2 linked regions of the Bombyx mori genome follow. The protein of the gene in region 1 interacts with the protein of each later gene in a pairwise test. Links are inferred from orthologs where the notes say so. Each region holds a gene or a part of one and is shown on either strand. Other genes may lie near its edges. The genes, in order: DNA replication complex GINS protein SLD5 and DNA replication complex GINS protein PSF1.

What was found.
Region 2: the proteins of DNA replication complex GINS protein SLD5 (region 1) and DNA replication complex GINS protein PSF1 interact in a two-hybrid assay, tested with the Drosophila melanogaster proteins (2 studies listed by BioGRID). The link is inferred for Bombyx mori from reciprocal best matches to the Drosophila melanogaster genes Sld5 and Psf1.

The regions. Positions count from the first base shown.
Region 1 is NC_085121.1:9,245,363-9,249,921, reverse strand, and holds the start of DNA replication complex GINS protein SLD5, read right to left. Parts: upstream 3,111-4,559; 5' UTR 1,914-3,110; coding exon 1,337-1,913; intron 655-1,336; coding exon of another isoform or gene 632-654; exon of another isoform or gene 1-631. Other genes in the region: opsin-1, read left to right, coding at 3,248-3,254.
Region 2 is NC_085118.1:17,160,940-17,164,832, reverse strand, and holds DNA replication complex GINS protein PSF1, read left to right. Parts: upstream 1-1,343; 5' UTR 1,344-1,473; coding exon 1,474-1,545; intron 1,546-1,807; coding exon 1,808-1,872; intron 1,873-2,711; coding exon 2,712-3,162; 3' UTR 3,163-3,278; downstream 3,279-3,893.

The sequences.
Region 1 (4,559 bases):
AAAGACATTATACTGCATTTTATTTATTCTTAGTCTGAGCCCACACTTTTAGCAAGATTTTTACTTAAATAAAAAAATTTAATTGTAAACAATACAGTAAAACTTGTGGCTGTTATTAACAAGTTAACATTTAGTATAGTGAAAATCATGAACAGGTAATCTTCCACAGAGCAGTAATTATTTCTTGTGAAGCCAGTAGTCCAAATGTTGTTTGAAACTTTTATATATCTTAGATTTTTCTTGTATTTTTTTTTGCATGGTTTCAGTTTTTGCTCAATTTTTGTCCTATGATAGCTACTGCTATTTCAGATTTAAAATTCTATGACATTCCCTAGTTTTCTGAGGAAATGCATAAACTTAGTATTTATATAGATAGCATTACTGCAATTACAAACCTACGAAATTAATAAATTTGACTTTACTGGTGTAAGTATATGGTTGGGCTACATACCTACAATAAAATTTAGACTTTAAATTGAAATGTTAAGGTAATTACAAGCATTTTTACATTACAGCTTTATCATTTAACATCTTACTTACACTTTCACTAGTGGTACGGTGTCTTGTGAGCCTGCATGATGTGTACCACCACCCTGCCTATTTCTGCCATGAAGCAGTAATGCGTTTTGGTTTAAGAGTTGGGGCAGCCATTAACTGAGTCATAAAACGGAGACTTAGAACTCTTGCCTCAAGGTTTTAATTAAAAAAAATAATAATTTTAATTATAGCACAACTTTGCACTTTAGATTAGTTTAAAAGTATAAGATTTTAACTCCTATGGTAAATATCATTCACTGTGTTTGATTTTTTTTTATTTCTGAGATTGCTACATAATGTATGTTCAGAAGTGTTGTATGTGTCAGACATACACAATGTTAAATGTTCACCAAAATCTATAAATACTATAAAAAGTGAATACCTCCTGAGATATGAGGTCTAAGTCTCCATTGTCTAGTATGGGGACTGTCCCCATTCTTCAAACTTCATGACTGCTTTATGGCAGAGACTAATTAATTGGTGACACATTCCCATATGGCCTACCACCAATAATTATGGGATATTATTTTTATTTTGGCAAGTTTATTGTTTCCATAGTGTTATTTCTTTTTTGTGGATTAATCAAACAGAATTAGATTCAATTTAAGACATATATAATCAAATCATTCAATATACCATAATATTATTATTTAAGTCATGATAACTTCAATGATATAGGTGATATCCTGTGGTACAATAGTCAAGGTCATTAAACCAACAAGGGTATTGCTCTATCTATCAAAGTATAACAAAAGAAAACCTATAATGTGTTTCAGTTGTGAGAAAATCAATAACAAACCTTCTAAGTCAATTTCTTCATCTTCACCAGTCAAGTCTTCTAATACAACCCCATTAATGGTTTCATTGGCTTTAAGGAATACATGCGTTTGTAAATTAGGATGTTCTGCCATTTTGTTCATTTCAAAGACTTGCATATTACCAGGCATTTTATTTAATACCACATTTTTCATATGATTTTCCATGTTCAAAACATATTCTTGAGCATATTTATATTCTGATGGTGTTAGGTAATTAGTATCAGTTTCTATTCTTTGTCTTTCTTGGTTTAGTATTGGAATGCAATATTTTTCAATCTTATTCAGTCTAGTTTTAAGATAATTACAAATAATAAATTTAATTCTGCTAATCTCCATTTTGTGTATAGAAGTTCTCAAATCAGTTTTTGAAAGTTTATTTATGTTTCTTTCCATGTGTTGTATTTGACCTAACATACATTCTACCATGTCATTTTGATGAGGGAGTATTTCTGGGGACAATCTTTCATTTTGCCAAGCACTTTGTAGTGTTTTTAAAACAGTCTCAGCTGTTACTTCTTCTTCATCATCACTGAACTGCAACTCTTCGGTTGACTCCATATTCTTCTAAATTATATATACCCACAGAATTCTAGTGCAACTTTAGATTGTCACTGAATGATATTATTCTAGCTTTCACGACTCGAATTTGAGTTCTGGTGTTTTTTAGGTTCTAAAGAGCTTTTTTTACCAATTCATTATAAATTTAAAGAGTATATAATCGCATTCATGTTTCACTACATTACAATCATAGTTTTTTTTTCTTTTATCTTTTTCTTTTATTAAAATTTTCTGTATTTTTGTCTTGCTTTCTGTACTAAACAAATTGTTACTTTATGACATACCTCAATTGTCATTAATTTTTTTTTTCTTCTGAATAGCACGGGATTTTATTTCTACTACCTTTATTGAAATAATAAGTTTATGGTAAAATAATGTAATTTTTTTTCTCACAGATTTTTTTGCTTACTATTTGTTTAAAACTTTGTTGGTTTGAACTAGAGATGGCGTTAACGGTTGAATTTATTTATCTGTTAACTGGTAATTGATAAAAAAAATTACCGATATTTTTATTGGTTGAAAATACCGGTAAATCTTTTCGTTGAAAAATTAATTTTGCTAATGTTAAACTTGAATGGTACTAGCACTTTTCGAAATGATCCCATATTTCTGCATTGCGTTTCGGCATTTTAAATTAGATATACAATTTAAAAATCCACAACAACAAAGTAAGCAAAGTCTCAAACACACAAAAACAAAGTCAAAACACACAAACACAAAGTACAAATCTCTTAAAATACAAAAACACAACTTTACCAAAATAATAGAAAAGATGCACTGAGCCACCAAAATGTCAAGTACCAAACAAAATATTACGTTTAAAAAATCAACCAATCACGTCATCTTCGCGTTCGGTAAAAATATCGTTTCATTTCAATTTTTTAACGAAAAAAATTATCATTAACTGTAAAATACACCAACTTAAATATTGTGCTTTATTTTGAGGGGTATAGAGCATACAATGAAATCATAAAATTCAATATTTTTTACATGATAAGTTGAAGACATCTGCAAGGCGAAAATGAATCTTACGTGTTGAAATAAAGTTGAAACTTGCATAAATATAATTTCCAATAATTGCCTATGCCACTACACGCAGTGTGTTTGGTAAACGGTATTTTTAACCGTTTTGGGTAATTTTATTTATCGAATAGAAGTGTTAATTTTTTTTACCGGTAAATTTATTGGTTATTGGTTATATTAGCCACCTCTAGTTTGAACCAATGTTTTATCTATTTCTATCATAAGTAATACTACGAAGAGTGAGTGAGCAGCTATGAGTCTCGATGATATTTAATATCAAGTTCGATTTCTACAAATGATAATGTTCCTGTATGTTAAGTATGTTTCTCCACTGTGTTCTTGAACAAAGTTTAGTAGTGAAGGAATAACATCGAACGCTGTAATAAAATTAGTATAAGCCGCCATACCATCTTGTTTATTTCTTGTGCAAACCAATCATCATCCTGGTTTGAAGGGTTGAATGGTTAATATTTTTAAATATTTTTTTATTGCTTCATGTTGTGGAAGTCTCAGTAGTAATGGGTGCTCGAGCCATCCTAGTAGGCTTACAGCAAGCCTTATCTTACTAGTAAAATTAGGGATGAAGAGCAAGAAAACGAAAAAAGTCGATATTCAGAAGAGAAAAGCCAGTGCTGACACTATGAAAGAGTGCGTCGCCTCCCACTTAAAACTACATATTATTTTCAAAACTCGTCTGAATATAGCTTTCAGAAATACTTTGCTATAGAGTTCATCCTAGAATTATTTCTAGAAATGAGCTGTGGATGGAACAATGAACTCTACTTCGGACATTACTACTGAAAGTTGTTGTACATGTGCTTGGTACAAGCACACTGACCATCCCGTAAATACATTTACATTATTCATTCTAAATTTTACTTAAAATAGAGCCGTGGGCCGCGGGACACACCTAGTTTGTTTTAAACAATTAATTGCAGTTTTTGTATCGAATAATGTACGTACGTACTAGCGAAGACATTTAATCTTGTTAGCCACATAAACCTGCTTCTTTGAAGTCGCATAACTACATTACCTCAGTAATACAGAGCTGTACTTACAAATATCTGTACTTACAAATAGCTGTACTTTGCAAATATCAACCGTACTATAACGGCGGCACTTAAACATAGTTTATTTTATAAATAACTAAATTTATTACTAAATTTCAAAATTCTGCTGACCGTTTCCTTGAAATTAGTCCACATTAAGCACTTTGCATCTTAAAATTTAGTTTTTTCGTTCCAAAATTTACGTATGTGCTCCATTGCTGCTCTTTTTGGAATCACCCAGATCTTTTGACACAAGTAGACTTTAATCAAAAATGGCTTAGAATCGATTCTTAATATGCAGCTAAACGAGCTAACTTGGACCCATGCATCCCTACCCATCCGTTTTGGTGGTTTAGGGACTCGCAAAATTTCTCGTGTCGCTTTACCAGCCTTCCTATCTTTTGTCCATAGTTCAGCAAATCTCATAAGTAAAAAACTTTGAGATTGCTGGCTTGGAAGAAGCTAGAAACGCTTTCTTAATTGGATGCCCACGTCAAAATTTTCCAGTTTCTCTAAATTCACAGAAGAGCTGGGACGACATAAACTGCAAATTGACATATGACAATCTTTTGAG
Region 2 (3,893 bases), on another chromosome or scaffold:
GTAAAACGAAGTCACTTTTTGATTCCTGATTTAATCAACAATATGATAACTTAATTCACTTTAACATTTATCCAACCTTAACCAGTACGTAAAACAGTCACTTAATCACACAATGTAACAAGGATATAGTAAGTGCACCGAGCAAACGCAGTCGGCCGGGGCACCTGGCTTATCTATGAGTCACTCCTGTTGCACGTGCTGTTTTACGAGTGGAGTGACACGGCCGGCGCACCTGGCTTGTGTATGACTCACTCCTATTGCACGTGCTGTATAACAGAAGTAACGTTAACGCCGTCATAGATATGTTACTGCTTATTATTTCTGTGTGTTAACACAACGTAACGACATTGGGAATGTCGTTGGTGTAGAGAGCGTAGAGGATCGGTGACAGGATACCTCCTTGGGGAACCCCAGCTGTGGCTGGGCGCATCCACGATTTAGCGCTCTTGACCGCGACAAAAAGAGTTCTGCCCTCCAGGTACGACCCCAGTAGTCGCACGTAGGCGTGCTGGAAGTCCGTGTTCTGCACCAACTTGCAGATAAGCCCCGCACGCCAGACACGGTTGAAGGCCTTCTCGAAATCGAGAAATACTGCCGCCATGTACTGGCGTGCGTTGGACCGTCAAAAGGTGCATAACGCAGACCAATTGCAGCGTTGTTGAGTGACTGCTACGTATCCAGAATTGCTCGGGTCTGAGAAGGATGTGCGGAGACACTCTTCTCACCAGCAGCCGCTCGAACAACTTGCCCACATACGACAACAGGGTAATCGGACGATAATTGGAGGGCTGTCTTCTGTCCTTCTAAATTCCCGGGAAATATCCTGTAGACAGAATGTAATTAAACAGCCGTGTCTTAAAAGACACGACTGATTCTAGAAAGTGGAAAAATGCAAGGGTGAGAATACCGTCCTCACACAATGCCTTGCGCCTCTTTATCCGCTTGATAAGGAGGCGCAATTCAGCGGGAATGATGAAATCATCATGTCCCAGAGGTGGCACCGGGAGGTTAGTTTGCACGTCGAACACTTTGTTGAGTTCGACGAGTACGGTTATCAGGGTCCCTAAGTCTGCTCCTAATGTTAAAGTTGAAAGCGTCTTTGCAAGAGTAATTGGATCTGATGGTCGACCCGATAAGGAGAGTGAGATTATTATTGGCTGTATTGCTACTAAGTGATTATCTGTAAAAAGTTACTTGTATGACTTAGCTCCCACTTCTAGAAAATTTTAATATCTTAAGATTAGGTTTTGGTATTATAGATTTAAAGATCAAGGCTTCTGTGATTTTCGAACTCATCCAAAAATGATGCGTATCCGATCATAAAATGTCAAATTTACTATCTGTCACAGTCTTGAGCTGTCACTCATCAAATTAATAACAACTTTCGCGCCAATGCCAAAAATGTTTTTATCTAAATTATTAAAGTATTTTGTTTGTTATCTCTCTCATTGTTAAGTAAATAAGTAACACACAATGTTCGCAGAAAAAGTTATAGAACTAATTAAAGAAGTAGATAGAAATCCTGACACAATAGATCAATATAATGTAAGTTGGATGTGCCCATCTAGGTATGGGATTGGAATTAGAATAAACTTGTTATATCTAATGAAAGCTTTAAGTTACTATTTAATACCGAAACCAAGATTTTATCCGGTTGTCATCTATTCTGTTTGTCTATGCATATGCACTATAAAGTCAGAAATCCATTTAGAAGTGACAAGTATATTAAATTATTGTTATAGCACCGCCTATTATTATTTTTGTGTCTTTTAATCTTATAAAGTACATAGTATTTCACATGTTACAGGATGAAAAAATACGCCAAATAATAGAAGAAATGCATTTATTATTTAAATTGAACATGAATGATGCGTAAGTCACTGGTTTTCTACTAATATAACTGCAAGTAGTTATTGTTCAATATGCAAGATTTGCTATGATCACTTCTATTCTGTAACCTCCTATTCTGTTTCATGTGATGCAAAAGTGCTCAGGTAACCTTGTAACTCCAGGAAGGTCTATTTTTGTTTTTTTTTGTCAATCTATTGCTACTAACCTCGAGGGGTTATGCTAGCTTCATGGGATTTGAGGTAGCCCTGAGATCTCTCACCCAATTATGCAAAAAAAAGTTTTATGACTTTTTTGTTTTATAACTCTTCACATTCAAGCAGTTTGGATAACTTGCCCAGCAGATTTGATAGCTTTACTGGTTGTGCTTGAGTAGCACAGATATCTCACCCAGCAGATTTGTTACAGCACTACGGTTATGTATCTGCTTAAAAATACTTTAGTGGACAGGCTTGGCTTCAATTTCTAACCAAATCTTAGCTCAGCTTATTGAGTTTTTTTACAGTGTAGTTGTTTTTTAATAATAGTACTAATTATTGTTTTTGGTATATAAAAAAAATAGAGAAATGTGTGTTTGTTTGTTGATCTTAAAGTACTTTTAAAATGTTTCTCTAATTTGGCCAAAATCGGTCTGAGTTGCTGGTCCGCACAAACGAAAACGTCATTTAGTGCAAAGGGGTTAATATTTTCATGCACTTGAGTCTCATGTGGTGTTGTAATAAGGTTACCTGCTATTAGTCCATTTTAATTTAAATTTCAAAAATATGTAGTTCAATTGCTCATCAAGTTCATTTATAGAAGAAGAAGATAACAACAAACTGTTTTATGATTACCGCTTGTATTAATTGAATTACTATTTTTAGTAATGCTACAACAGAAAACAGATCATTGTGGACCACAGTTCAAGTAAGACATTCTGCCCTTGAACGCAATAAAAGGTGTATATTAGCCTATCTCTACAACAGAATGAAAAAAATTAAGACATTACGTTGGGAATTTGGTGCAGTACTACCTCCAGATATCAGAGAATTGCTTTCTGATGATGAATATCAATGGTTTTCAAAATACTCTGGAAATCTTGCTTTGTATATGAGATCTTTAGGCCAAGATATAGGATACAGTGGCATAGACTTGACTGAAAATTTAAAGCCCCCTAAATCATTGTTCATCGAAGTGCTTTGTGTTGTGGATTATGGTAAATTAGAACTTGAAGATGGTGATGTGGTTATGCTTAAGAAGAATAGCAGACATTATCTTCCTACTTCGGAATGTCAGACTTTAATACGACAGGGTATTCTGAAACAAATAATGTGAATTTATTTTATCAATAGTGAATTTTTGACCATTTTATGTTTTAAATAATATTGTGAAAAATAATGTTTGATGTCTGTATGGAAATAAATTTTATGAGAAGATTATTTTTACCATAAGCTTAGTGATTTGACTTGATTAGATTTGCACCTCCTAATAAAGCAAGTGTGTGTCCATTTTTTTTACTATCCCTGATGGGTGAAAGAGCAGTCATAGTGGCCTAAAGAATATAATGCTTGCTGTAGTCAAATCAAATGATGCAACAATCAATATCATCATCAGCCCCGAGGTCTCCTAATATCAGACTTCAGACTTAGAACTTTTGTTTAGGTGTGTGGCAGCATTTGCGTTTTTGATATTTACGTGCCCTGTTAATGAGCTGGCATTGAAAAAAACTATTTTCTCAAAAAAGATACAGCGCAGTTTTTTTTTTTTTTTTTTCCTACCTATGATGGTAGCCTTGAGGGCTCAAACCTGATGACGTTGCTAACACGAACCCTAGCAAGAGCCGTGCTTCGCAGAATCTACCACCGGATCGGAAACGCGACCCACTGAGAAGATACGGCGAGAAACTCAGTGGGCTGTGTCTGGGAGTTAATTTACTCGTCGAGCCCTTCGACGGGTTCGACGAGAACGGTGACCGGTGCTTGAAGTACCTAAAAGCACCGTTAGTGGATCGGGACGATCCGAGATGACGTGTTTTGGGCGACGTCGACTGCTTTCCATTCTGTCCG